Lepisosteus oculatus: one gene and its partners. The protein of the gene in region 4 purifies or fractionates together with the protein of the main gene of each other region. This does not show direct contact. Links are inferred from orthologs where the notes say so. Each region holds a gene or a part of one and is shown on either strand. Other genes may lie near its edges.

What was found.
Region 1: the proteins of tssk6 (region 4) and hsp90ab1 purify together in Homo sapiens (affinity purification with mass spectrometry; 4 studies listed by BioGRID and IntAct, with this or other methods). This does not show direct contact. The link is inferred for Lepisosteus oculatus from reciprocal best matches to the Homo sapiens genes TSSK6 and HSP90AB1.
Region 2: the proteins of tssk6 (region 4) and cdc37 purify together in Homo sapiens (affinity purification with mass spectrometry; 4 studies listed by BioGRID and IntAct, with this or other methods). This does not show direct contact. The link is inferred for Lepisosteus oculatus from reciprocal best matches to the Homo sapiens genes TSSK6 and CDC37.
Region 3: the proteins of tssk6 (region 4) and fkbp5 purify together in Homo sapiens (affinity purification with mass spectrometry; 4 studies listed by BioGRID and IntAct, with this or other methods). This does not show direct contact. The link is inferred for Lepisosteus oculatus from reciprocal best matches to the Homo sapiens genes TSSK6 and FKBP5.

What each region holds. Positions count from the first base shown.
Region 1 is NC_090697.1:43,351,550-43,358,856, forward strand, and holds the start of hsp90ab1 (heat shock protein HSP 90-beta), read right to left. Parts: upstream 3,252-7,307; 5' UTR 3,142-3,251; intron 1,563-3,141; coding exon 1,419-1,562; intron 1,178-1,418; coding exon 971-1,177; intron 831-970; coding exon 671-830; intron 398-670; coding exon 264-397; intron 1-263. UniProt on the Homo sapiens protein: Molecular chaperone that promotes the maturation, structural maintenance and proper regulation of specific target proteins involved for instance in cell cycle control and signal transduction. Undergoes a functional cycle linked to its ATPase activity.
Region 2 is NC_090706.1:15,649,542-15,657,372, forward strand, and holds the start of cdc37 (hsp90 co-chaperone Cdc37), read right to left. Parts: upstream 3,252-7,831; 5' UTR 3,159-3,251; exon of another isoform or gene 3,141-3,158; intron 3,028-3,140; 5' UTR 2,977-3,027; coding exon 2,869-2,976; intron 1,022-2,868; coding exon 740-1,021; intron 1-739. UniProt on the Homo sapiens protein: Co-chaperone that binds to numerous kinases and promotes their interaction with the Hsp90 complex, resulting in stabilization and promotion of their activity. Inhibits HSP90AA1 ATPase activity.
Region 3 is NC_090700.1:40,510,204-40,518,262, reverse strand, and holds the start of fkbp5 (peptidyl-prolyl cis-trans isomerase FKBP5), read left to right. Parts: upstream 1-4,808; 5' UTR 4,809-5,118; coding exon 5,119-5,153; intron 5,154-8,059. Other genes in the region: pth4 (parathyroid hormone 4), read left to right, coding at 1,671-1,998. UniProt on the Homo sapiens protein: Immunophilin protein with PPIase and co-chaperone activities. Component of unligated steroid receptors heterocomplexes through interaction with heat-shock protein 90 (HSP90).
Region 4 is NC_090724.1:7,190,685-7,197,441, forward strand, and holds tssk6 (testis-specific serine/threonine-protein kinase 6), read right to left. Parts: upstream 2,016-6,757; 5' UTR 1,773-2,015; coding exon 954-1,772; 3' UTR 929-953; downstream 1-928. Other genes in the region: ndufa13 (NADH dehydrogenase [ubiquinone] 1 alpha subcomplex subunit 13), read left to right, coding at 3,495-3,588, 4,582-4,660, 6,610-6,681. UniProt on the Homo sapiens protein: Serine/threonine-protein kinase component of the sperm flagellar doublet microtubules. May act as a regulator of sperm motility by mediating phosphorylation of sperm doublet microtubule proteins.

The sequences.
Region 1 (7,307 bases), on a different chromosome or scaffold from region 4:
AATTCTGCTTTTAAAAGCAAGTTGTACCAATTTTCACCGTTTTGCCTGTAACTATAAACAATACCATAAAAACTACTGAGCAATTCATTTAAAGCTTGCATGCTGCATTATTATTCCTGGTGGACAGTTGTTTTTTAAACATTACATGTTCTGGAACAAAGTGAGTAAAGTCTCTTTTGTGAGCTTAAAAGCAAGGGGAAAAAAATCATTTGCTATGAACACAAGCACTGTACAGAGAAAAGGCCAATTTTCAAAATACTTACAAACAGAGTGATCGGATACCCAATGAACTGTGAATGCTTCTTCACAACTTCCTTGACTCTCTTTTCCTCAATGTACTCAGTCTGGTCCTCCTTCAGGTGCAAGATGACTTTGGTGCCTCTACCAATGGGCTCACCTTCAAAAAAAGTTTTATTAGTTAAAGGTTCTTGTTTTCTACAGCTTCAAGAGTGTTGTCCTGCTTTTTAGTAAGTCTTTGGCAAAAAGTAAAGTGTTCTGGAGAAAAGGGTTTCACCTGGCAACAGGTACCACTCCAAATATGAATGATTTTGAAAATATAATGCTCTGCCACCAGTTTTATGGCCTGACCACTTTGCAGGATGAAAATCCAAAAGCTGTTGAATTTAAGGTAATAAAAAAGGTTAATTTGTCATCTAACAAAGCCACATACCATGGTCAACCTTGACCGTGAAGGATCCTCCAGCAGATGACTCCCAGGCATACTGTTCATCATCATTGTGCTTTGTGATGACCACAACTTTCTCAGCTACTAGATAAGCAGAGTAGAACCCCACACCAAACTGCCCAATCATGGAGATGTCAGCACCAGCCTGGAAGAGCAAACATTGAGATAAGAGTTTAACCAACAAAAGCCATTTACTATTAAACTGTTTGTGCAATGGCACCGCTAAGACGTTACATTATTAATGTAAATTATTTTAATGCATTTCTCAGCTTTGTGATGCAATACCTGCAAAGCCTCCATAAAAGCCTTTGTGCCAGATTTGGCAATGGTTCCCAAGTTATTGATGAGGTCTGCCTTTGTCATCCCAATTCCAGTGTCAATAAGAGTCAGGGTACGCTCATTCTTGTTTGGAATGACATCAATCTTGAGGTCCTTGCCACTTTCCAGTTTGGAGGGATCGGTCAAGCTTTCATATCTGATTTTGTCCAGTGCCTAAAAATCCATAACATTTACATTTTAATAAAGCAGACAGGATTGAGAGGTGTTTAGGTAATCAAGAGACAAATAAAAATATTTTTACAATACTTTTAAAATGTAAGCAAGAGGTATATTACAAAACAGCCACAGCTGTTTTTAAATAAAGCAACATTGAACCAAGCTCGATGGAGGTAGGGTTCATTAAATAGAAGTTCAATCACATGTGACCAAAAATCCTGAGACACAGGGGACTCACATCAGAAGCATTGGAGATCAGCTCCCTGAGGAAGATCTCTTTGTTGGAATAGAAAGTGTTGATGATCAGAGACATCAGCTGAGCAATCTCCGCCTGGAAGGCGAAAGTCTCAGCCTCCTCTTCTTGGCGCATTTCTTCAGGCATCTAAAAAATAAAAAGTAAAAAAAAGAATGATGAGAAACACTCACTTATTTTTACACAAATACATACAGGGGTTAAGGAACAGCGGAGACTAAATAAAGGGCCCTGTTCAGCCACCCTGGAGTGCAGCACCCAACTGGGTGACATACAGCGGCCTGCAGCCCCACTACACAGCAGATTAAGTACAGAACATTTTCCAGTGTGGAATTCAGACAGGATATCAGGGTTAACAAGGCACCTTGGGACTACAGGGTGTGCCAACATCACATAAGACACTGATGGGAAAGGGATCACCAAGAAAGGGTATTTGTGCAGCCCTGAGCAGTAACTGACAACCGCTTTGACTTGCCTATCCCTGGATTACATACAGCACGTCTTGATTTTGTACTCTGGAAGATTAAGGAAAATTCTATTGTTTAACAATAAATCAACTACATTTTTCAAATGTAAATTTTGACCAGCAGCAAACTACTCCAACAACTGAGCTTCACACAATAAGCCATTAAATAAAGCAAACCTAAATCCAAAGATAACTGCTTATAAATGAGCTATTGTGAATACATGAGACACCTTAACTGAACCTCAACCAAAAACAGACTCGCGAGTCTCGGGGTAAAATGAAACCTTTCTTTGAATTTCGAGCTGCGTTATCGAGTACAGCAAGAGAAAAATGAACAGTGTGGCGCAATGCAGCATTCTCCAGCCTTCACCTGCAGTGTGCCAGCTTTTGGCAGCACAGTGGCACCCAATCATAGCTGGGAATGCAAGTTAAACATACCTCCTAAGCAACAAAGGAGCGAAGATCGTGTTAAAAATAGCACGATCTTCAACGGTAATTTAAAGAAAGGGAAGGGACAGACTCCATTTTATTTTCCGCACAATCATTCAATACATTCGAGACGGAAGTGACGCCGGAGCCGAACAATATGGCGGCACCTGCTATGCAGTTTAACGTAGAACACGTGGGTTTAACCTTCTAACAAGAATAAATAATAACTATGCTGCAAGTGAAAGAATAGCACATCTTTTTCACTTCGGCTTATCTAAAAAAAAACATAACGCTATCCAGTCGATTACACATTTTTTACTGCTTATGTCCACGGATAAATCGTTCACATACAGGAAGACAAAGCGTGATACAGCATGTTATTCACGTCAGAGCTAGCGATGTACTTATTTCATGGAACAAACCGGGAACGTCTGTAAGTTTTAGATCTCTTACAGCAAACTAATGTCAATCGGAGGTGCTGGAAATGTATCTATAGAATTAAATAGTTAATCATCACGATTCCATCAGAAACCATTGTACTAAACAACGTTTTAGACGCATATCTACCTTTGAGAGAAATTTACTCTGATCACTAATAAGCTGGAACATTCCCAGCTTCGGGGAACTAGATATTTCTTTTCTCCCATGTTTTATGTTTCTTCTCATTCAATCCAGCGATCAGGAGGCAGCCTTGTACCTTGGACCACTCTTTCGAAACCTCATCTCTCATCAATGTACGTTTTTTTTTTACAAAATTATTATGCTCACCTATAAATACCACATATAACACTCATAAAGGGGAAAGAAACGTACCTTTAACGTTTTAGCTGTTGTTCTTTTCTTGAAATAAATGCAACCACACAGGCTGATCCCCAAGCACTCTGACGCTGAGAAACTGAAAGGGATTTCCTTTTAAAAGACAGTATCTTTATACCCTCTGCGCTTGCCGATGTATCCATCCGCGTAAACAAGCGCTATTTCCCTGTTCTTGCAGCCTCCCAATGAGAAACTGGAATGGGTATTTATTCAGGTCTATGTATTGTGTAGTGCGTAATACGTAATTAGAAATAAGTAAATACAGTATTAGCCTTTAAATCATTGTATAGGATTTTCTAAAACCAATCATAAACACAGCACCACTGTGCTTAAGGCTGCAGTCTCTTGTCTTAAGGTCATTGCTCTTGCTTGGCTCTTTGTCAGTCTATTATGGGTTTTATTGCACCAGTTCAAAACTTTCCCCATCTTGTCGGGTACTGATGATTTATAGAGACTATGACAACCTGCCAACACACCAACCCTCGAAGATTTGCACGGGACAGCCTTGTAGGGTAAAAAAGATGATAACGTGATACTCAAATTTGAGGGCATTGTACATGAAACAAAAAAACGTGAGATGTGGTACTTTTCCATGTTATATATATATAAAATCGCTTTTTCGTCGCAAAGAAAATATTTTTGTTGTATTATTACATATATCCAAAAAATCTCAATAACACAATTGTGTTGGAAATGTATGTGAAAATATACATAAATGTAGTGTGGCTTTGAAATGAGGTTGGGGATCTAGCACTAGTATCTGGCAGTAGCTGCTACTTCCAAATCAAAATTATCATGAATATCAAAACGTCAACATTGCTATATGATACTGTACATTAATCTGCCTGTTGGCAAAACACTTACCCCGAGCCTATTTTCAGAACTGTCTGGTGATACTAATGATGACTGTTAATAAGATGACAGATGAAACAACAACAGTAAATTGTCCTATAGCTTTTAAGAGGCAAATTAAAAAAAATATCACAACTTTTTTATTGTATCTTTAAGGCAGGAAAAGTAGAAGTGTATAAACCATGTACACATCACGGTGAACATGGAGAAATATTGCAAGGCACCATTAGAAACCTTGGAAACATACTAAATGTGTAAAGTGTGGTAAATTCTTTAAAAAATAGAAAGGATAATGGATAATACCGTGCGGAATACGGTACAAATTTACTGTATTTCATTTTTCAGAAGGGACGTCACGAGAAGGGGTGTAAAGTACAGTACATACGGTGTATATCTGAATGCTATGGTATGAATCTTAATACATAATATACCAATATCGCTTTTACGTTAACGTTTGGTTATATTTTACTTGTGATATTTTGTTAATATCCTCTTCCCATCTTTAACTCCAAAATGATTTTTTTCTATAATACCAAATTCTTCATGGCTGAATTGATATGCGCTACATTTCTACTTCTCACGTGTGATTCATTATGGAACTCCTTACTCCAACGGAAGGATACAGACATACCCGCGAATGCGTGCTTAGGTTTTTCCAGAAATTTCTGCATAAACCCCGCCCGGGTTCCTGACGTCACAGGATGTTAAATGCGGTGTTCTTGCCGGGCTTCGTTTTCGGTTGTCGTGCAACAAGCTGCTTCCATAGCAACTGCGCAACTGCCTCCGTAGTTAAATATATTTTCTTGAGCTGCATTAGAATTTATGTGTACAATCCAGAACATTCTTAATTTTGAATTTACGATTAAATATTGTGTCGATATGTGGTTATAAAATTTAGGAGAGTATGAAAAAAGAAAAATATTTAAAGTGCTGTTTTAATTTAAAAAAAAAACGATAATAATAATATTACCACCCCTTTTTATTATACAATAACATAACTTATTATACAATAAATAATTTATTGTCACAATGGATGTTTAGTTTTAACTATCTAGTTCTGGTTTGCTTTTAATACTATTTTTTATTGGGTTGTTGCTACCCATACAATAAGGACTGGTTAAAAGGTACTCACAGATCCTTCAGTCTGATGTTACGTATCGTAAATACGGTATGTCAGAGTTTTTTAACACTGAAATACGGTCAACATTTTGAGAATATTAAATATGGTAGGTATGTTCAACGTATTTTTATATTTGATATAATTTTAAGGCTAATTTCATGTACAACACCGGCACATTTATCAGCACATTAATACCATCATCATAATAATAATATGATGCTTCCAAAAAAAAAAGAGAACACAATGTTTCGGCCGTGTCCACGGCCGAAACGTTGTGTTCTCTTCTTTTTTTCAGCGTGGAATAAACCTATTACTTGTTCCTTTGCAGCCTACGCATGCTGATGCAGCTACCCACCTGAACTATAATAATAATAATAATAGCTTACACTTATATAGCACTTTTCTGGACACTCCACTCAAAGCACTTTACAGGTAATGGGGATCCCCTCCACCACCAACAGCAGCCATAGTGCGCCAGAACGCTCACCACACATCAGCTATCAGTGGGGAGGAGAGCAGAGTAATGGAGCCAATTCATAGAGGGGAATTATTAGGAGGCCATGATTGGTAAGGATTACACCCTTACTCTTTTTGAGAAGCGCCCATCCAAAGGATGGTGCCTGTTTACAGTGTAGTGTCCCCATCACTATAATGGGGCATTAGGACCCACACAGACCACAGGGTGAGCACCCCCTCCTGGCCCCACTAACACCTCTTCCAGCAGCAACCTTGGTTTTTCCCAGGAGGTCTCACATCCAGGTACTGACCAGGCTCACACCTGCTTAGCTTCAGTGGGTTGCCAGTTGTGAGTTGCAGGGTGATATGGCTGCTGGCCGTAATAGCTACTAGATTTCAGTTCACCTGAGAATTGTGAATGAAAACAAGATTTTCTTTCAGTATCCATAGTATTTCATACATATTAGTTTAGATAGGCTGACCTTTTAGAAAAAATAAAAGCTACTATTGTCCTTCAGACATAGAATGTCCTTTGAATTTTGCTCTAGTATACAGTACCTCCTCTTCAGTACTTCATTCAGGTCACATAGTTTTTGTCCATGTTTGTCAACAACATAATAAATGCTTTATAACATTACCTCTTTTCCCCTGTAGCGTGTGTTGACGTCTATTTGAATATCTACTGAAAACTAGCATTTTGTTTTTCGTTTACAATACTGTTCTGTGCTTCATTGATTTTTCTTATTTTCATGATATACTTGTCTTTTGGAGCCAATTTCCCGATCTACAGCTCTACCTTTTATGTCTCTCTTTTGCTTTTAGTTAAAACAAAAGTTATTTCTTCGCCTTGGTCTCAATGTCATTTCTCTCAAGTGTCCTGCTTAGCATCTCTTGATTTAATCTGTGCAGCTCTTTAGAGTCCTTTGTTAATTTTCCACGTCACATCATGCCAGATTGGCATCACCTTGGGATGAATATTGCTTCCCTCAAAGACCTGGATATTTTATTAATTTATTATCCTGTGATGCATTACCTTCTGGTTTGGGTGCAGTGATATGTCTGATGCAGTTGAGAATAAAAAAGAAGGACCTGTAGCTTTTGTGTCCTGAATGTGGAATTCAAATGAGAAAAACTAAAGCCTCCTTTTCAATCTCAGCATTATTTAATTTTTGGAGTATAGAAATTTCACAAATACAAGTATAGCCACAAATTCACCACACATCATTAGGCTAACAGATGGATTGGTACCAACACTAGTTGCACACTAAACAGTTCTGGGCTATCTTTCTCTCTGCTCACAGATTAGGTACTGAAAGTCAATGTTCTTGCTAAACATTGAGGAACTACTGTAAAAGCCAACAATATTACAAAAGAGAGTAAGAAACACTGTTTTATTACAAGTGCTGGATCTGACTTTTGCAACCTTGCTGTCAGCAGCTCTCACCAGAGCAGGATAAGGCTTATTGCAGAAGTGCAAGTGACATCAAGATAAACTTGTGGATAGAAAAATTGATTTAGATCGTAACACTCATCTATCAGGTTACCAGCTTCACATTTGGTGTTGCAGACTGGACCACAATATTGAGAAGTTACAACTGTACACACTCATCTTCATTGTCTGTCACGGGGTTCAACTGGTTTCTGAGCCATTATTTGCCGTCTGCTGTTGGACTTTGTTTTTTCCTTGGGTCTTAATTCTGCATTGGAGATTCTAAGGACATACTGTCTTAAGAGA
Region 2 (7,831 bases), on a different chromosome or scaffold from region 4:
CAAGGTGAGGAGACCAGCTTCCTCATGAATCTGGAAATACACCTAGAGGCTTGGGGGCATTCTGAGCAGCCAACCAAACCTCAACTTCATGTCTTCAGGAGGTGGGGTGAAAACATGGGAGGAGAATGCAAACTCCACACAGAATCGAACCCCAGACCCTCACAGCTGTGCTAATCTCCCTTGCCCATGTGCTGCCCTGCGTCTTTGGTCTATAAGGCTGCTAAGTATCAATCAAACCAGCAAGATGTGCCAAATGGCCACTGCTCATCAGGAACCATTTTCTATCTTCTTGTTTTGTTACACTTGTATTATACGTTCCCATCGTAATACCCACCCAGTTTTAACTGGCTCAGCATTTCATTACAGCTCCCAATAACCCCATGCAATAATCCCAATACCAAAAGAAGGCAAATAAGAAAGGGCAGTGTTGCTCCTCCGACCTTCTGGCATCTGCATGAAACAGAGTTCTGGCCCTTGCTGGTGTCACTACAAAACCAGCAGGCACCCAGGATGTGGCAATAGCTGCCATTTGGTAGAGCTGACCCTGGCCCACTCATCTGAACCATAACCCCAGCAGTGCTCAGCCGGCAGCACGCCAGCACTCATCTCAGTCACTGCCTGTTACAAACGCGATCGAGGCTCTACCCCATGAAACCCGGGCCGGCGGCCTGCACAAAACTAAACTTGTTGGACTGGTTTTTGGCAGTGGCGGTGTTGGGGAGGACACACACACACTAACCTTGCTGAAGCCCTCCCTGCTGAGGGTGTCCACATTCCAGGGCTGCTTCTTCTCCTCCCTGCGGTGCTCGTCCAGCTTCTTCTCCCACTTCTTCTCCTCCTTCCTCAGCTGCTGCTCCTCGGCCTGCAGCTTCGGCAGCTCCGCCTTGGCGTCGTCCGTGCCCGAGATCTCCAGCTCCCGGATCTTCTTCTGCAGCTCCGCCGTCTTCCGCTTGGACTCCGTCAGCCCCTTCTCCATCTCTTCCCGCTTCTTCTGGAACTGCTCCATGCGCTCCACCCTGGCCTAATCGGGGAAGGAGGGCTGAGTAAGAGGCAGGGGAGCCATTTCCGAAGCTGTGCCTCACAGGGAAACGGCAGCCCCCAACAGAAAGAGAAAACACAGCTGGTCTATTTTACTGTATTCTGCAGTGACAAGGCCTTTAATCTGTATAAATTAAGAAAAGCAATCATCCTGGTACAGTTCTCTCTGGTACCTATTACACCACCCCAGTTTGAGTATTCACTTTTTGTCCACACCAGTTAACACTTCTCCAGTTCCTGGGTACAACCACCGTATTACACGATTCTTGAAGGGCTGCATCAGTGTATTCTCAATAATGTCTCATTTCCATGGCTAACAATTGGTAAGAAACCCATTTTATTTCACTTCCGCCTCCTTAAAAGTCCATTTCTTAAATTTCTGCTTCCTGGAAATTGTAATACTTTGCGCTTTGGCACTCAGTCTGTAACGCACACAAAAACACTTCACAGCACAATATATTGTGCACACCACGCTGGTGGTGCACTCATCTGTTTCTGTTAGCCTGTCCTGACTTTGATGAGGCGAGATCTATACAAGCACCTCCTTGCAGATGCACTGGCGAAGTGGGTGAGAGATTCTGCCATTGATAATCCTATTCGTCTTTGCCTTGGAAAAAGTCTCCCATTAAAACTGCTTCTTATGCACATTTCTTTATTACACAGTGCCAAATTATAATCAGCATCTGCTGGTCTATATCTTACTCCGAACCCTGTACATTTGGAATGTTCCGTTAATGAGCCTGTCCCACACAGATCCAGAGACTCGAGCTTCCTGAAGCTGAAAACGTTTTATCTATACAGCTACAGCCCCTCCCCTCCTTCATCTTTCCTGCCTCTCTGGAACAGAGTGGAGTGTCTCCACTAATGTTACATTTCTCTCCATCATTCTCAGGCACCCAGGTCTCTGTGATTAAAATAACTTCACAACTGCCTGCTAACGTGGTAGCTTCTCTCTCTCCTCTACTTGGTTTCCCCTACTCCTAGCATTTAGATATAAGCACTTAAATACCTGATCATTTGATATGTTTTTCCCTTTGGCTCTCCATTGATCTATATTCCCCATGCAACTTCCTTTTCCGCTGTTTTTCTTCCTCCCACCTTCCTTTCTAGTTTCTAATGCCCTCCCCTTTGCGTCATTAATTATCGCAATTACTTCCCTCCTGTCAAAGGGCCGGGATGCTAAACATGTAGTTAAAAGTAAAATCAACCGAGAGTGAAGCAGCCAGGGGTTAATCCCCCCAGTGTGGGCGGGAGGGCCGGCACCAGCGGGCTAGAAAGAGCACAGCTGTTCGAGGGAAGTCGCATTCCGCCGGGATCAGAGCACTCCTGGCACAGCAGCCCCCTTCCGAAAGCAGGCAGGTCCCACCAGCAGCCGAGAGGCCGTGCAAAGCCTGGTTCCTGCCCTCTCACACCCAGCAACTGTGGCTGACAGCACCCCCAGAACCACATACGCGCATTAACAGCATCAACTGAGCACAAACAGCGCAGACCCCGGGGGGGATGTATTCCAAAACGTGTTGGGAAGACTTGAGGAGTGCTTGAAGTACCGCCTTTTTGCAAAAACACATCGTCGGGTCTTTGTTATTGGTGCACCACAAAGTACCGTGCACGAATCAAGGCAAGCTCTTAGGAGTAGGCATTTTAAATATTATAAAATAAAATGAACTGCCTTGTTACTCCAGTACTTTTTGCAGTCGTGGGCGGTGGATTAGTGAGCCCCTAACAGAAAGCTCCCCCGGCCCCTAGTAAAATTCTACGTTCACAGACATGCTTATGTGCCCTGCAAACGCCATCGCGATTCATTGTGTCAGGCCCGATTATTTAATTCACCTGGTGCCTCCAACGGAACAGGCTGGGGGTATCGATGTTGGGGTGAGTGTCGTCTTCATCATCAGATACTTCAATGTGATCCCACACGCTGTAGTCTATAGTTGTCATCTTCGCTGCGAGGTCGGATCAAGCACGGACAGCCCGGCGCGTGAATGAACTCTAAAAGATAAGAAATACAGCACACAAACAAAAACCTCAACACTTATTGGCCCGGTGATCTAAATTTTGAAGCAATCTTTAAAAAAAAACACCCCAAGAACACTCCGATCTACCTCCAACCCGTCACTCGCCTTGCCTCTGAATCTTTCTCGAAATCTCTTTTGCTTCCGTTTGAAGTGTGGAACGTCACTTCCGTACGGCCCCGGAGCCTCCCCTCTCTCGCGCCCCTTCGAGAAATCGGTGAAGCGCCGCTCTGTTGCTCGCGGCGGAGCAGCAGGAGCGGCTCTCTAGCGTCGACGTCCCTCCCCCTTTGTGGCTCGAGTCTGGAAAAGACCATGCAAATATGGCTGCGCCCACCCGGGCAGCAGGCGGCCGGACATCCGTACGGCAAGAGATTATACTATAGGTATGAAGAAAATATTTTGTTCCAAATTAAATTCAGCACTACACATTAAAAACATGATTAACTCCAACTGGAAAATAATCTGTTAAACATAAGTCTAGGGTTGATATCCACAAAATTCATTTTATATTAAAGTGGACTATTTCATTTTTAACTGACATTGTGCTACAGTCTTGTTTTCAGACTATAATGTCAATCTCAGTTGTTTTCTTTTTTTAAATTTTATTTATGCTTAACAAAAGAACAAACATTACAGTCGCTCTTCTGCTGTCGGTGGACCAGAATTTCCAAACCCGAGTCCCACTTTGGCTAGGGGGACACTGAGCTTGATAAAAAACTGTCTCTCTTCTTTTGGCATCTTACAAGCACTTTGAGATGGCGGCTTTTAAACGGATTGAATAAAGTTGGTTGTTTCTACACTTCGCTGGCTATTGTGATGGGCGCCACGGTGGAGCAGTGAGTTTGCACGCTCTCCTCATGTTCCCACGGGCTTCCTGCAGGCGCTCCAGTCCAAAGACATGCTGGCAGTTTAACTGGCTTCTGGAAAAGTGGCCCTGGTGCGAGTGTGTGTGTGCTGTGTGTGGCCTGCAATGGAGTGGCGTTTCGTCCCCAGTGCAGCCTGCCTTGCTGGGAGAGACTCCAGCTCCCCCCGACCCTGAATTGGAAGAAGCAGTTAGAAAACGGAAGGATGGGCATTGTGAAAAACTACTATTTGGTAATGGCGTTTCCAGGCACAAACCCCACTCCTCCCTCAGACGCCTGAGGAGCGCCGTGTTCTAGAATCTGGAAGCGTCTCCAGACACGTTCCAGTTTTAATTCGTCCTTCATTACCAACAATACATATTGGCAATGGACCAAACTTGGGCACAGCGGGAAATTCTGGGTTTAAAGAAATGCTGAGTTCTGCAACTTGCTTCCAAATATAAAAAACAGAAAACACGCCGTCATCACAACTGGACTCACAGCTGTGTAAATTGCTGTGCACAAGTCTTCAACATCCTAGACACAGACAGGAATAACTATACTGTGCATATTGTAACGCATACGGCCTCCATTGCTTGTGAGAGCTGGCTTACCAGAGCGGTGATGTCACTGCCCTTCCCTGTGAATAGCAGGGACTGCAGCCGCTGGGCTGATGGGAGATTTCCCTTTGGCTCAAGAGGCTGGGTCCCTGTTGAGTGATGCCGGAGGCCTGGGTTTGAGTCCCTGACGGTGGGGGGCTGACCTGATGTGGCAGTGGTGAGGGTGCCCATGTGAACCATGTGTAGCGTTACAATATTGCTAGAGCTTTAGATGACTGAGAAGTGTCTCTTAGATTTTAGATAAAGTTTGTAACACTTGGAAGAGTAAACACTTCTAACTTCAAAGCCCAGAGGATGTTTGCTGCGGTCTGGGGGGGTCCCTTGAACAGAAACAACTGTAAAGTCGACCTTAGTATACCTAGGTACCTTGTGGATTAATGATTTTCAAGAAGCAGTACAGACACACACAATATAAGATCACAAGAGCACAGAGAGGGGAGAAAGAGGAAGAAACAAGAAGCAGGGAACAGAGAGGAGTCCGGAGGAGTTGGGACTTGAAGTTGCGCCAAGTGAGAGCCCCTACTTCGTAGAGGGAGACTCGTTGGGCCTCTTCCCATCCAAATCAAACCTGGCTGGAGCTACAGTAAGTATTTGACCTTGTTAGAGAGGGCTTGCTATTCAGGGTTTTTAGGGAACTTGGGTTTCAGGTTAAAAGATACCTCAGTTAGAAACATCTTTCCTGTTAAGGGTGCATTTTTATGGATAGGGATATAGGCTCCCATTTATTTTGTGGCATCTGGGGTGCAGAGAGAGAGATTTAACTGCAGGTTGCATTGTATTTAGTTAGAAGCCAGCTCATCTTTCATGTGCCCTCTGTAGGCATTAAGAGTTATATAACGCAGGCACCGTCAATGTGGTTATGCTCAGTTTCTGTCATACTAACATGAACCGAGGATGTCTGTGCAAAGGAGCCCTGCCACATGAAAGTAAACCTCACACCCGAAGAAGGCTCCACAGCCGAAACGTTGTGTTTTCTTTCTTCTCTTATCAGAATGGAATAAACCTTTACTTGTTCCGTTGCAGCCTATGCATGCTGACGCAGATACCCACCTACACTTTTTTCTCACAGATGTTAAGCAAGAGTTGCATTTTCCTTTCCAGAGAAAGCTGATTTTTTTTCCCATTATGGACTAGAATGAACAGAACTGAAAGGCAAATAAAATGTATTTGTGTTGCCAACGCTCTGCCCGGAATAGAAAAGTCTTTAGAATACACAAAAAGCAGAAATCCAATTAAAATGATGAGTCACACCTAGGGAGGCTCACAAATAACAATTTGCCTTGAAGTGACAGGAATGCTAATCACATGCAATTAGAACTCAAGAGCCCAAATCTGCTTCTCTCATCCATCCATTATCAGACACATCATATATGTTGTGGGGCAGTAATAAAAAACACAATCAGAATTTTTGTGATGTATAGTTAAGTGGAAAATTTAAAGCAAAGTTTTTTATGTAAAACCTCATTTAGAATGCTGTGTACCATTTTAGTCACCACATTAGAAAAAATATACTGCTGTTCTGGAACCAATCCAGAAAAGAGCAACCAGATACATTATAGGATTTACTGAATTAATTCTTTGTTCTCTGTACAAAGGGGAACTGATTCAATTACCCGAAATCCTAACAAGAATTTGACATGCTCAACCCAATGGACTTACTTAGAATCAATATTTGAAATATCAGGCAGAGGCCACAACTGGAAAGTACAGAAGTTCCAAGCCCATCTAGTCCATTTGGTAGTTAGCAGTTAATTCATCCAAAGATTTTATTCAGCTGATTCCTGAAAAACATAAATCAGGGTATCGGAATCAAATACATGGCTGGGTAGATGGTTTCAAACTCTCACCACCTGTTCTGTTCTCAGTTTGGAATGCACGTCCACCTGAGTTCCTCATGAATAGGCCTTGATATAAATTCCTTCCACCCATTTTCTAGCCCCTTTATCCAGGGTTTGTGGGGGAGCTGGAGTCTATCCCAGCAAGGATACACCCTGGACGGGATGAAGGTCAGTCATAGGGCAGATACACAGACACACAGGGCTGATTTTCACAGAAGATCAGTATGTTTTTGGACTGTGAGAGAAACCCGGAGCACCTGGAGGAAATGCACGCAAACACAGGGAGAACACACAAACCTCCTGCAGATAGCACCCCAGTTTTAATTTAAAGTTGTAGTTTGGTTTGTTACCAGCAGAGGGCACTATCAGGTTATTAATTATTCTGCATTGTAATTGAATCATCATCAATATTAATTTTAGTTTAATAATAATAATAAAAGTCAAATAATTGTACAACTAAACATTCATTAAATAACTTGAAAATATAATATTTTTAGTCACAGAAAACGATTTTCAAAAGGATCAATTTAATTATTAAAAAGTCAAATTATTTGTTGAATGAAGAAATTGAAAGTCTAGACACTATTGTCACCAGGGCCAGAATTACAAAGTTGTTCTGTTTTGTTATAGATCAAGGAGGCTCTGGTTCTGCTCGTGCAAGTTTGGTCTCTTTGAGGCACCAGCACTTCAACAGCTGGGAGAAGTCTTTTAATTGGTCCGACGATGGCCAATAATGACATCATTCAGGACCATAAAAGCAGAGGTGCAATGAAATCCTTTGAAGGCACCATGGTTCCAATAAAGCTCATTTAAAGGTTCAATTAATTAAATGAGAAGAACAAAAACCAAACCAGAGAGTGTGTGGGAATCTGAGGATTTAAAACAGAAAGTCCTGCTCTAGATCAGACAAAATAATAAAATTACTCTTATTTGAATGTTTAAGAACTTTCCTTTGTCTGCGGATTTAATATCTTGAAGAAGAACAAATGCATTTAGCTGCAGTAACGGTAAAGCTGGATAATTTGAAAGAGAACTGTGTGTGCTAAAGGTTTTTCTATCTTCCATCTCAAAATCCCTCTCAGCCTCTTTGATAGCAGCAGTGTGCAGAAGCCGAGAGTAATGAGACACAGCCTTCCCCCCATGTGCTCAGAAAGCCAAGTTAATTCCCACCAGAGAGCCATCCCTCCCTAGCCTCGACAGGTCCTAATTCTCTCCCCTTGGCATTTCTCTCTTTCATTACCCTCCTTCTCTCTTCCTTCGGGGATTCAGTTGTGCGAGTGTGCTGGGATTAGGGATTTCAAACGTGTAGAGAGAAAGACAAGGCACCAGAATAAATTGTGTGCTCTAAATTCATCTTATTGAGGAAACCGGAGTTCAAGGGATAAACAGCTTGCGACCTGGCGTGGTGATGGACATCTTGCCCCTTTTCGGAGGCTTACAAGTGCAGATACACCGTTCAGCAACAGGCCCAGCAAACCTGT
Region 3 (8,059 bases), on a different chromosome or scaffold from region 4:
TGAGTCGTGCAGTGATGAGTGAGGCGTGCAGACCCGTGCTGCGGGCAGTGGGGAACGGGGTACCCCCGACATGCCGAGGCGGACGAGGTGAAAACGGGGCGATAAATGAGCAGTGCGAGGAGAGGTTCACTCTCGCGCCCCTCCTCCGCCGCTGCGCTGCTACAGGCGCCGAAGAGCTGAAGTGTGACTAATAACCGTCCGCGAAACCGCTATCGCACCCGCCTGGGACCGCTGCTCTGGGGACACAGGGAGGTGGAGTGAGGGCGAGATAACACGGAACTGGGGGTGGATACATCAAATGCACGAGAGACATGCTAACGAAGCACCTTGAATTTAATTGAATTGATGAAAGCAAGAGATAACATTATTAATCGGAGCCCGACCCACTGAGGTCTGCACATGCGCTTCCCGCTCCGCCCCCCACCCCCCTCCGTACCAGCTCTTCCCGGCCGTGCTGCACGAGCCGCACGCACTGCCCGAGCGCGCTCAGCGTGTCCCCGCAGCTCGAGGGCAGGGAAGCGCAGTCAGCTCGTGCCCAGTCCCGCACGGACAGCGATTTGACAAGGCGCGCGGACAGGTTTGCACGTCTTGGAACACGTGGTTGGTAAAAACCCAGTGCAGCGTGGACAGGGTGCAAACCACGTGTTCAGTCAGGGAAACGATATAGAAATACGACAGAGATGATTTTTTAAGCGCATTACCCCGAGGCTGAGAAGAACAGGGCTAGGTGGAGAAGATCTCCCCCGTTTTTATATAATCTGTCCCATTTCTGAATTACCCAAAACAATCCCTTTTCTAATTGAGACTCTTAATATAACCAGGACAGCTACTTCTGCTGATCTTTGTGTTTTCAGAGAAGCAAAACCAGTTTACACCTTATCTAAGTAATCCTGATTGATTTTAAAAGGTGTTTAAACATCTGCAGGCAATGGAATGAAGCCAGTCATTGAATTACTTTAAACTGGATGTAAGTGAGTACATGTGAGTCTGCAGCTCCAAATCTGTTTTTGTAGAGCCAGATTAAAAGGAAGCTAAAAATCCGAAGAGAGAAAGGCTGAAGACTTTGGGAGTGAAGGACTAGGGAATCAATCAATCAATCAATTAGATTCTTATATTGTTGCACTTTCAACCCAGAGCATTCTCAAGGCACTCTACAAGTTAGAGTGCGCCAGCAATCAGTGTGTCCTCTGCAGGCGGGGGAGTGATCAGTGTGTCCTCTGCAGGCGGGGGAGTGATCAGTGTGTCTTCAGCAGGCGGGGGAGTGATCAGTGTGTCTTTAGCAGGTGGGACAGTGATCAGTGTGTCTTTAGCAGGTGGGACAGTGATCAGTGTGTCTTTAGCAGGTGGGACAGTGATCGGTGTGTCTTTAGCAGGTGGGACAGTGATCAGTGTGTCTTTAGCAGGTGGGACAGTGATCGGTGTGTCTTTAGCAGGTGGGACAGTGATCAGTGTGTCTTTAGCAGGTGGGACAGTGATCGGTGTGTCTTTAGCAGGTGGGACAGTGATCGGTGTGTCTTTAGCAGGTGGGACAGTGATCGGTGTGTCTTTAGCAGGTGGGACAGTGATCGGTGTGTCTTTAGCAGGTGGGACAGTGATCGGTGTGTCTTTAGCAGGTGGGACAGTGATCAGTGTGTCTTTAGCAGGTGGGACAGTGATCGGTGTGTCTTTAGCAGGCGGGCTGTGACTGAGCACCAGTACATGCACGACAAGGGTCGGGCCATGCAGAGCCTGAAGAGACTCATCTGGCTGTCCAGCGCCATGGGGGGTCTGCACACTGCCAGCACCCGCGACCTCAGCGACCCCAGCGACCCCAGCCCGGCGCGGGACCCCCCTGCTGAAGAGGGGGCGCACGGACCCACCACCTGCCGGGGGGAGGCCCTGCGACTGCTCCTGTCCCTCCTGGGCAGGGGCTCCCTCCAGGCCCTGTGGAGCGCCCTGTACAAGCCCCACCTCACCAGCCTGCAGGACAGCACGGACCACGGAGACGGAGAGAACTAGACCCACAGGGCCAAGCAGCTGCCAGTTTCATTGATCTGTACCGAGACCTTTGTATATTTGTATTTACAGCATGCATCCAGTGGTAATAAATTTGGTCTAGTTTAGATTTCTGACCTCTCTCTTGTGCAGCGGTAAGCGCAAAAGAAAATGTCGGTGTTGTGACGTATCCCTGACACACGTTTCTTAGTGCTGGAGCGAGATGAAAGCAGAGGCAGGTATAGCACGAGCCACAAGACAGACTGCGACACCGCCAGTGCTGCACTGCGGCCTGCCGGGCACTGATGTCAGAGAGGCCCTCTGTGCACAGAAGAAGGGCTGACGTCCTAGTCACCCGATTCTCTCGCTCAGACCCCCAAGAAAGACCTGGAGAGCAAAGCCCCCCCCCCCCCTTCTCTCTAGGGTCTCACTCGCTTGGCCTCTGATCACCCCAGGGTGATCTGTGGACTGGCCGCCTTCTCTCAGCTCACGATCGTCCGTGTGCCCCTGTCCGCTGTCCCCTGTCGCAAGCACGGCCGCTTCAGCTTTTTCAGACGAACCGGCGGAGTAGACGGCGGCTGTGGGAGAAGACTGCCTGTGCCAGAGGCTTTCTCGGGGGAGAGCTTCAGGAGCTCGGAGAGAGCCCCGGGGCCCCAGGAGCTCGCAGGGAGAAGAGCAAGCACTGCTGACAGCAACACTCTCTGAGATTTCCGCACAGCTTCCTTTTCCAAAGGCCCTACATACTCCTGCTTGACACATTTACACTTCGCTGTATGAATAGGATGCTTTTGAATCACAACTGGATTATTGTAGAGCTGTATTGGGTTTGATAAGCCGATTAAATCTTCCGCTTTGGTGAAGTTCAAGGCACCTTTCTGACAGCTCCATGTGCCCATTTCCTCCCCTCACCCTGCCTGCAGACGAGGCGTTCTGCGTGAAACACACGAGCGAGCAAATAGACATTCTGTACAGGAGAAGATTCATACTGTATGTACTGTCGGGTAACGTGATAAAAAATAAAATCTGGTGGTTACTTCCGGTGCAATTGGACCCTGTCTTTTAGGACTTTTTTGTCTCTTGTTTCTGTCAGCTTCCTGTATCACCTTCCTCGTACCACATTGCGAAGGCGCCGAGTCCGAACGGGTTACTCAGAAAGTGTCAGAAGATAAAGCCCAGTGGAAGGAAATGAAACAGATTGGATGCTGAAGCAGCTTTCTGTGTGTCTGGGTTCTCTCGTTGCCTTATCTTGGGGGAGCGGTATGAAGTGACAGAGCGATGGGAACCCCTTGCTGCCTCCTCTTGTTGTGCCCCGAAGCCCAGCACCCCAGCAGACCCAGTGAATAAAGCAGGCGTTGTGCCCTGTTGCTGGGGGGTGTGCTGTGGCCCCAGTGCCGGCGTGTGATGGCATTCGCCCGCAGTTTGAGAGTGGTGCCCTGTCTTTGCCTCCTTGTCTGGCCTTCTGCTGCCCTCTGCCTTCCTGTGCCTCAGCCTCACACTGGCGCTAGGTCGCGCCAGTTTGGTGAAGACCTGGAACCTGTCGGCTTTTACAGAAAAAAGCGCCTGTGTGTCTTTTACGGTACTTCATGTGAAGGCCGCGTTGTGTTCTGATGGAGGTGCCCTTACAAGCATTCAGTCCAGTCAGTCTGCGTGGCACTCCTGCTGATATTCCCCTGCTTTCAGAACGCTGGTACCATGACATGTTTCCTAAGGGTCACACAGAGGATTGCGGAGGATTATAGAAGCCAGGAATAATAATGCTGGAATCTGGTGTTTATGGAAAAAACATGTTCATTTTTTCCATGTGCAGAATGGTGTGTGTGTCTGTGTTAATGTGTGTGTGTTTGTGTGACAATGTGTGTGATAGTGCGTGTTTGGGTGAGAGTGTGTGTTTGGGTGAGAGTGTGTGTGTCTGTGTGACAATGTCTGTTTGTGTGAGAGTGTGTGTCAGTGTGAGAATGTGTGTGTTTGTGTGTTGTGTCTCTGTGAGAATATGTGTGTTTGTGTGAGAATGCGTGTGTTTCTGCCAGAGGATGTGTGTTTGAGAGTGTGTGTGTCTGTGTGAGAATGTGTATGAGAGTGTGTGTGTCTGTGTGCGAGACGGTGTGTGTTCATATACTTCTTTAACTTTCCATTTTTTGCAGGCATCTAAATGAATGTATCGGTTTTGCATCCACGCACTGGCCGAGCCCGTTCGGACTGCGGTCTGTGAGTTAGCGCACTGTATTTTCCACTGTTCCAGGCACTATTTTTAGCCTTTGAATGAAAACTCTCAGCACACTTCCCACAGACAAATAGCTACTACGCGGCTGCTTTTTTTTATCAGATTAGTACAGGACATGTTGTACTACTTTACTTCCTCACTGCGGTGTCCTGGACTGAACTCCTCTCTCACGTTTTGTCCTTCTTGCTCTCAAACACACAGGCGGCGCCCCGCTATCTGCAGAGAGACAGAAGGGGGAGAGGGGAAAGACAGGCCACAGTGCCTGGCTCCTCGAAGCAGGACACAGGCTGTGCTGCAACTGGATTTCACAGCTGTAGCACTGAGACTGTCACACTAACAAAACTCCGCAGACAGCAAGACTGGCTGCTTGCATTTGTCAGAAGAAATTAGTAATGAGCACTTCCTTCCTCTCTGTCTGTGAATGCAAAAGTGATACGGTAAAAACAGACTCCGTAATTGTTTTGTTTTTAAACCTCGATTGCGCATGCATATGAAAGAGTTGTGAGAACAATTAAGCAGTTCCAGTGACCTTCTCCACAGCTGAAATAACTGTCTGCAGCAGGACCCTGCGTCTCACTCGGCGCCAGCAGACAACCTGTAATTGTCTGTTCCAGTCTGAAGGCACACCAGGGCTGCAATTGCATGCAGGCATGCTTTGGTCCCTGCTTGAAGGACATGAGCGCTGGCGTGTGTGGCTCTCAGACACTCTCAGGGCCGATTTCATCACTTCTCACACAAGTAGTCGTCTAGCAGCCCGTCACTAAGGAAGCTACAATGCATGGTCTGCACACTCGTCCCACACCTGGGAGGGAGGCTGGGGATCTGGTCAAGCAGTGGAATAAATGAAGAAGTGGCTTCTGGGTGTTTGTGCAACATAGATTTGAATTTCTGAGTGTTCACTCAGGCCAATACACTTGCAGGCAATGCCTTCTCTGCCATGTGACCGCCGTGGGCACAGGTAAGGATCGACTGTTTCTGATCAGCGGGGCTGTGGGTCCCAGCTTTGTGGTTGCATCTGAGTGGAAACACTGTGTGTCACTGCAGTGCTGATGCAGGGTCAGTGCACCACTGGGACCTCCCTGGTCTGGGCCTGGTCTCCAAACAGATCAGAGCGCATGGGAATAATTGCTGGGGGTATGAGCCTGGGGTCCTCAGAGACAGAACCTGTCTGTGTTTTTAGACTAGGAATGTGTATCACCCTGACCATGCAGCAGGCAGTGTCGGGGGAGAGCTTGCTCATTTGTATATAACATAGAAAGAGACAGAGCATGTACTGCGCAGCTGTGATGAAAGCTCCTGAGCTATTTCTGGTTGCAGTTAGTAAATGCACGGAACACAATGTAACTTATGTCAAATATCATCTGCCCACGGTGATCTCACTCGGGAAAGTGATGGTGATGTGTTGAGTCTGTGTCCACAGTCATTTATTTTAATCAATCACAGAGGTGTTTTTCTCCCCATGCCCTCCAAGACAGTTCACAAATTTAGTGCCAAGAGACCAGTGAGATTTCAAAGGTGCTCTGCATACTTTGTACAGTACTGAAGAACATGCCGTACAACTCCTCTTTACAAACAGAGCACTCACAGCACAATCATGGTGAAACACAGTACACACGAAACGATCATGGTGAAACAGCACAGTCATGGTGAAACACAGCACGATTACAGTGAAACACAGTACACACAGCACAATCATGGTAAAACAGTACACACACAGCACAATCATGGTGAAACAGCACGCACATGGCACGATAATGGTGAAACAGTACACATGGCACGATTATCGTAAAACAATGCACACTGCACGATCATGGTAAAACTTTGGGAGAAGTGTAAATGAATTTTGTATTTCTTATTATTTTGAATTTTTGTAATTGGCTCAGCTGGACTTCCTGAAACAGCCAGTGGTGACAAACATTCAGGGTATCGGATCGGCATCACGACCTCAGGTCAAATACCGAGACCATCGGAATGTCACTAAGAGTGTGTCACAAACCGAGTGTGACTGTCCCCGAGGTAAGACAAAACTGTCAGAATGTTTTCCGTGGTAAATTTAACAGACAAGTAAAACATTTTGACACCCCATTGCCTACTGTCAACAAGGAGCAGATTGTCCGAGATCACCCAGGGAAGGTTTTCTAAAACCTCCCTGAACGCGCACCCCGGACCCCCAGACAAGCCGCTCGCAGCGGCCGACAGAGGCGGGACACCGGCAGACTTTGGAAGAAACTGCAGCCCGACAGCAGGCACAGAGGCGATCCTCTGCTGGTGAACAAACAAGACCCTTCTACTGCGGTTTCTCTCTCCCAGAGAGGAAGAACAGCGAGACGGGCGAAACGTGAAAACGATTTACAGGGCAGCAGTATGTACAGAACATTTTGCAAAGTTCTTCAGCTAAAGGAAACTGATTCGTACTACAGTTATCTGTGTTTTAGTATCCATGATAAATATCCATTGTACTGTATATAGAAATTACACGAGCGCCAGTGGCCCCGCCCCTGTCTCGCGTCCACCTGTACTGTCACTGTGCTTCACGAGCACATTCTGTTCCAGCTCCGCTTGGCTCGCGGCCAGACTCGCTGCACAGCAGGCTGCGGCTGCGCGGTGCTCGGTGAGGGAGGCTGCGGGGGGGTTGGGGTGTATGCGGGGGGCGGTGTCATGTGGGTGGGCTGTTGGCTGGGCGAGTATTGCCCTCCAGAGCCACCCCCCCCCCCCGACGTACACACCCACAGTCACACACACTTCCACAAATATACACACACTTTAACACTTCCACACTCACTATCACACTAACATACACACACTAAACATACACACGCTCTCTCACTCACACATACTAATAATCACACAGTCTCACACACTATCATAAACATCATATCATGTACACACGCACACTCACTCCCTCAGGGCTCTGGTCTTGAGTTGTGAGTTCAGATGGGACACTGTTACTGCCCACCCCAGACAGGAGTTCAGCTCACACTGGAGTTTGTTCACTGAAGATGAAAGGCAAAGGCCCGAAACACTTGAATTTGCTTGTGGATTTGAATATAATGCACATACTGTCCTTGGTTCTGTTCAGCGCTGGAAGCTGAAGTCTGGAATTAAATGCCGCGTAAAAACACAGGGAAGCGCATCCGTGTCTGGAATGGCAACAGGAGGAATGAACAGTCATGCCGAAGCTGGAAGTAACAGAAAGCATGGTAGAGAAGTGGCTCTGTTATTTATAGCCATTTCGGTTCCTTCAGTTCTTGTCTATAAAGACTCAAGCCCAGAGAGCAACATCTTGACACTCCTTTGAGCCGCTTGGTGTAGCGGCGCAGAGCAGTGCGCAGAGTGGCTCTCTAGGGGGATGGTTTAGGGGGATCAGGGGGATGGTTTGTCCCTCATGTCTAGCTAGTGGCAGCAATAGCTGTTTGTTCCGATCAGGACTCCCCCAGTAAGTATGGTCCCCAACCCCACCTCTAGAGCCTGCTTTGTGTTTCAAGGGAGACCTTAATCACTGACACTAATTGATGCCATTAAGTGATCTGCTTGCTTGTTTGGGGTTTTGTTCACCTGTTTCTGCATTCAGTCCAGATTTTAAACATACCTAGCTTCTTCCAAGCACGTCAGCACACACAACATTATGCAATCTGCCCCAACATGTTGAATAAGATTTATGAGAACTTCCATTGAAAACAGCTCTTACTAGCTGGTCGATCCACGTAGAACAGATGCAGGTACGAGTGGCACTGTATCGGGCACACCACACAGCGGGTATGGCATTGTATAAGATACGCCCATAGTAAGGGTGACATTGCACCAGACACAACCACAATGGGAATGGCACTGTATCAGACACACCCGTAGTGTGAGTGACACTGT
Region 4 (6,757 bases):
TTTGCAGCTTTGACCACTGAGGCAGGTGATGTGTTCGGGCAAGTAGCTCATAATACCAACACACTGTAGGTCCAGACATCTGCAGCCCTGATCATGGAGAGCTCCGGACAGGTTAATTAAAGGCATGTTCAGTTATGTCATTTAAAGACCATTTTGGTACAAAAACCAGAATATATTTCAATAATATTTTTCGGGGACCACGGTTTCCTCCATTAAAATATTATTTGCTTAACTGATCAATTGCATTTAAAACATGTTCCTAACATTGAAGCGTGGGTGATTTAGGAATGAGTAGATTGGGGTTCTCAAGGAGCAAGACTGGAGATCCCTGCTGTAGCTCTTGATGGCTACATTACAGGTGACCCTGATTTAACTGAACAATACCGCTTTAACTAAATTGAGCAAGTAGGCGTTTGTATTCCATATTTTTACGAATGTACGATTAACGGAGGTTTGTCCCCTAAGACGTGCTGGACTGTGATTTTTCTTGACCATGTTTAGACCTTCTGTATCAAAAACATTATCAGCAGTGTTTCGGATTTTGAAATAATTAAATCGTCAATTTGGGATAGGACTCTTCAGTGCCAGACCTCAAGGGGTTTCATATCTGAGGTTAAACAGTATTTTTTTTCCCCCTAACCGCAGCTGTTTGATATCACGAGTGCGTGGTGCACGAGTCCCACCCCCCGCGCTGACAAACCGCGGAAGAGCCGCTAACTCGAATAACGCGGCTTTGCTCTCACCCCAGCCTCGCTTCTCTTTAGGGTTAAAAAAATAAGAATAAAAACAAAGAATATGAGGACAAAAGAGCCGAGGCCATTGAACACATTTGCTTTCCAGGATACAGGATCATTTGCATCCATAACCATCACTACAAATGTACCAACACCGAGAACTGGGTGGACTCAAAACACTGACAGCACACGGCTCTCTCTCCCAGCCACCCGGCATGTTTACTGGTCACCCTGCTGTCCCAGCCAGGGGTCCTCCGACACCTGCTGCACGGAGGGGCGCGTGGAGGGGCTGAACTGCAGCAGCGAGCCGATGACCGCGCGGCAGGGCGCCTCCACGGGCACCTCCTGCGGGTACACGAGCGCCTTCCGCTGGATGCGCGGCAGCTTGCTCACGTTGGAGTCGTCGAAGGGCATGCACCCGGTCGCCATGACGTAGAGGATGACCCCCAGGCTCCACACGTCGTACTTCTTGGGGTCGTAGGGCACGCCCAGGAGGACCTCGGGCGGGGCGTAGGCCGCCGAGCCGCAGTAGGTGCTGCTGACCTCCGGGTAACCCAGCGCCTTCCGGCCGAAGCCGAAGTCGGTGAGCTTCACCTGGTTGTCCGCGGTCAGCAGCACGTTCTCGCACTTCAGGTCGCGGTGCACGATGTCGTTGGCGTGCAGGTAGCCCACGGCGCTGACGATCTGCGAGAAGAGCACCTTGGCCAGCGGGCCGGGGATGGAGCTGAGCTCCTGGACGCGCTGCAGGAGGTCGGTGGTCGCCGCCTCCATGACGATGTACAGCTTGCCGCTGCACACCTCGATGAACTCGTGGACGTGGACGATGTGGGGGTGGCGCACGCCTCTCAGGATGGCCAGCTCCCGCGGGAGGAATTTGCAGACGAAGTCGTGGGGGGCTCTCCTCCGGTCCACGATTTTGATGGCCACCTGCTGGGGGTATTTCTTGGTGGTGGCCAGCTTGACCTTGGAATAGCTGCCCTCGCCTATGGTCAAGCCCAGTGTGTATCCCATTAGCGTCAGAACCTTGTCCCGGGACATCTCTGGCTCTCCTCCTTTAAGGTTTATGTGCAAGAGCCATCACGCCATCAGAGAGCCGCTGCCCCTGGTCTCTTCCTCCTGTCCAGGCCTGTGTGGTTTGTGCCGGTACCGGTCTGTGATCCAGTCGTCCTTATGAAGTTTAGACACACGTCACCCGGTGACCTCTGTCGCGTATGAATGGCCACACGTCCCCCAGCAAGCCATTGAAAATGATTTCAGATGACCCTTCCGCTCTTTAGAATGACAAACTGCCCTGGATTTCTCAATACGTAAATAAACACAGGCTTTCGAAAAATTCATTTGATCCAGTATTTAAGGGGCAGGGCTTCGGCCAGTCGTTATTGTGAATGTATTATGACGTTTTCGGTAGCTGGACCTCGTGTGTGTGTTTTAGGTGATGTGTGACGTATTTTCCGCTATTGCTGGACAGAGGAGGGCTGGGCTGCGCTTCGGTCGTCCGGTAGTTGATACAACAGTTAGAGAAACGCCCCTATCAGGTAGATTTTCTTACATTTCGGAGACGTCTTTTCAGAAGCTACTTACATTTATTTGGATCTGTCAGTTGTGCATGTACACGGAGTGATCTGAGTGAAGCATATTGCACAACTGAACATCAGCTTTCAATCGAGGTTTGATGATTTTTCAACCATCAAGCCTAGAGCCCCTTCAAAGCTACTTTACAATGTTTTCTGTTTAGTTACGGGTTGATTTAAAGATACGCGTCAAGATTCGCATTTTCTTTATGTTCATATTACACGGTTAAAGTTAATATCATGTTACTGTATGGTTTTTGTTTGGGAAAGCACCGTAAATGATAGATTCTTTCACACTATTTACGTTATGCACTAAAACTCCCCTCATAAAAAAAAATATTTTGGGCAGAATATCACAATATGTAAATAATACACGGACGTAATATATATGCGACGCTTTACTTTCCAAGTAAAGTTAAATGCCTTTATTTTAGTCTGCGAGAAATTCAACTACGACTCCACAATGAATAATTTTTTGAATTATCAATGAATAATTATTCCATAATCATTTTTGTGGGTGTTTTAGTGTTGCGAAATGCAAAGGCATTTAATGCTTCTATAATAAATTGATATATATTTAAAAGTATTCAAAAATATTTAATGGGATAACTTTTATTTTTTTAATACGCAGAATAGACTAATATTTAACGCACTTTTATGTATCGTAGGGGTTATACGTTAAAACACGCCTGGATAAAAATATTAATATATGGCATGAGAAATCAGTGGGGAGTAGGACGATAGTAACTCAAAACAGGCACTGAGGTGCCAAGCCATGCAGAGCTTTATAGATGAACATCAGGATTTCAAAATTGACAAAACCGTAGAGGAACCAGTGCAAGGACTCCAGTATAGGAGTAAACGGTTATCGGTTAGAGTTATCATATCGCATATCTTTAGGGGACGATGGCATTTACATCTTGATTTTGGACTCCCGTTGATCTTCTGGGGTAGGGAAAACTATTGCGTGTAATAAGGAGAATTCAAAGTAGTCCTTCCAATTTCCATACGCACTGCTGCGTTCCCACTAAGTCAGTGGTAGTTTATACTCCACCTGCAGTACTCTGCCAAATCCAGCATGGCGGAAGCGTGCTGTCGGAACGGAGGACGTGAAGACGTCATCAAGAAGCGTGGCCAGCGTGTCAACGTCACAGTTCTGCGCGGTTTGCAGCTGCGGTGAGGAACCGAAATGGCGACGTCCAAGGTGAAGCAGGACATGCCTCCTCCGGGGGGCTACGGTTCCTTTGACTACAAGAGGAATCTCCCGAAGAGAGGGCTTTCCGGTCAGTACTGATGCCGCTCAATCGATGAGGGTAAAAAGCGCGGAGGCTTGTGTTTCCCCTCTTTAACCTGGAGGTCTGTTTGGACGGCAGACGTAGTCCTGGGCTCCGCTTGTCTTTTCGATAGTTTTGACACCTCTGTCTGAGCTCAGAATTTATAGAAAAATGTAATGTTGTAATTGTAAAAACAAAACAAACACTTCCACGTCTATTAAAGCCATAAATGTATCCTGTTTTCTAAGATGTATTGGACTCATTTCCTTTGTCTTTGATGTAGTGTTTACATGCAGACATAGGTCTCATAAACGTTCATTTTTAATCTACACAGATCTTAATATAAAACGGTTTTTGCATCGCTATATATGTAATGGAAACGATCAATTCTTACTTAGGACAGTTTGCATGCTCCGGTTTTGTAGTATAGGTGTATCCGTTGTAGCTTACCTGTGAGTAAGGTAATGACATTCACCAGGGAGGAATGAATGAGTTCTGAAAACTCGCTTTTCGTTTTCCTGTTTTTTATTTCTCCTTCGAGAAAGTTTGGTTTATTTTTATTTAGGTTTCTATTAAATAACACCACCGTCCAGAAGCGTGAGAATTTCAGGTGGAACACGTCAGTGATGCACAAAAAGCTTACGTGTTCAGTCACATCTCACCCTAAAACTCTGGTTACAGTAATTACAGTCCTTACTTTCTATATTGGCCCAGTTGGGTTGTTTGATTTGCACGCAGTTAAAGTCGTAACACAATGTATAATACATTTCACAGACAGTCAACCCTTTTAACAACTAAGAAAATAAAAATAAACATCCTGGAATGAAGTTAATCATCTGGTTTTTGCACCAGGTGCTCTTTTGGATTGGCTATTGCAGTTTCTCCTCTTCTCCCTGCCCCTGGGGTGGACTGATGCCGTCCCCCTTGTTCCCCGAGCTTGAGGAGTAGTTGCTCTCTGACAGTGGAGTTGTCCGTTGATCTTTTCTTTATTGTCACTTTCAGGGTATAGCATGTTTGGTATTGGTATCGGGGCCCTGCTTTTCGGTTACTGGCGACTCTTCAAGTGGAACAGGGAGAGACGGTAAGCTGGCCTTTCTGGTTCAGACTGTCTTTCAGAGAATTGCTTTTCAGGAGATTATATTTATTCTAAATTAAAAAAAAAACAGTTTTTCCCATATTGTTTGTTGGTTTTCCCCAAAGAAAAGTTTCCTCTGTGTTTATTACGTATATGTCATGAAAGAATTGTACTGTACAAAAACAACGTTCTGGACTACGTTCAGAGCAATCATTCTATCAATATGCGCTTTGTAAATAAAACATTTCAATCTGTTCCTTTTAGACTCTATTTCCTATTTTACCCTAAGAGACAAGGAAACCATCTAGAGCAGAGGTTCCCAACCTATTACAGCACGCGGCCCACATGACTGACCATAAAAACTGGTCCCATACAGAGACCAGGCCGTCCTCACCGTTTTGAAACGGGCTCGCTCTGTACCTCAGCAGTAGCCTCATCGACACCGGTGATCAGAGAAAATACGTGCATACGAGCTACAAGCATGGCTTTACAAAGACCGATTACTGATTACAGAAGGAGTCCAGTCAGCACCTCACAAAAAGTAAATAAAATAAATAAAAATAAAAATAAAACAAATATTGTAAAAACTAAGGCACCAGTACAGCTCTTTTCTTTATTATGATATCTCACACGCTTAACGCTAGCCTTGTCCAAAACAAAACTGAACGGGCGGGATCAAACGAGCTGAAAGTGTTTCCAGAAGTGTGGGGCAGCCTTCTGTGCCCATGACCTTATGAAGACGCTGAGAAGCAAAAATCTGCACGGTAACTATCAGAACAATTCTTAAACAGAAGTAGATGTTAACTCCCCCTCCACTGGACGCGTGAATGCACAGTGACTCAATAGCAGCGGCTTGTCTCAGTTCCCAGGCACGGAAAGCCCAGAGCCAGGTACTCACTGCTATGTTTTCTCTTCTTTAGTTTGGGTTTGGATTTTGGGTTATCGGTATGAGACACTGAAGCAGTTTCTGTGCTTGTAGATGGGCCTTCCTCTGTGTCTCATAAGAGAACCAAACACAAGCCATTTCTCCATGATATGAAGGGTGATTAGGCAGTTAATACTACATTCTGCATTAGCTTTCTCGTCATGTCACATCTAATAATAATAATTAATAATAATAATTGCTCACACTTCTATAGCGCTTTTCTGGACACTCCACTCAAAGCGCTTTACAGGTAATGGGGACTCATTACCTGTAAAGCTGTCATGCAGCATGCTAAGCCATAATATCTATACATTATTTATATTGTTATTTATATTATATATATATAATGTTATATATTTATGATTCTTTCACAATTACAACAATCATTTGACAGCCCCTCTCCAGTACTGCCCACTGGCCCACAGGTTGAAAACCGCTGGTCTAGAGTAGTTTATTGCCATATGTACTTGTACATTAGAATGTTTAATTTCACTGATCTCTTGGGACATACACAGTGCGGCACATTGTAGAGATCAGGAACAATAAATCTGTTGTGGCAAAATGAAATCTCTGAATATTGTCCCGTGTGGATACAGTTTTTCAACTAATTTCTAGTTGTATTTGCTTAAACCTTCCCATTAGCAATGGTGTGTCATGGAGATGTGCCCGCCCTCAGAGAGAGCTGCTTCAGTGGCCGCACGAAACTGAGAACACGAATGCCCATCGGCATTGTGCCAGTATAATTTGCCCGGGAAGGGTGCCCTGTCCTGCCCCATGGGGGGGGGGGGGGGGTTGTCATTTACTGGAGGCCCTGAGAGGCTGATGGGAAAGGAAGTCTGTCCTTGGGGTTGGCAAGTCTTGGGGATCCATGACTATTTGAGATTGTTTTTTTTTAGAGGCTCAGGTTTGTTAATGTGTCCGTGTGAAAGACACGCCCGTGTGAAAAGGTCTCGATAAAAAGAGAAAAAAGTCTCCCCAGAGTGCGGAGTCGAGGCCGCGCGTCATGATGGGTGGTGTTTGCGTCTTCCAGGCGGCTGCTGATCGAGGAGCTGGAGGCTCGGATCGCGCTGCTGCCTCTGCTGCAGGCCGAGCACGACCGCAGGTGAGGGCGCCAGCCGGGGTTCGCCGCACAGGGGAAGAGGCGCTGGTTCTGGCGTTCCGCCTGTCGGGGGGGAAAG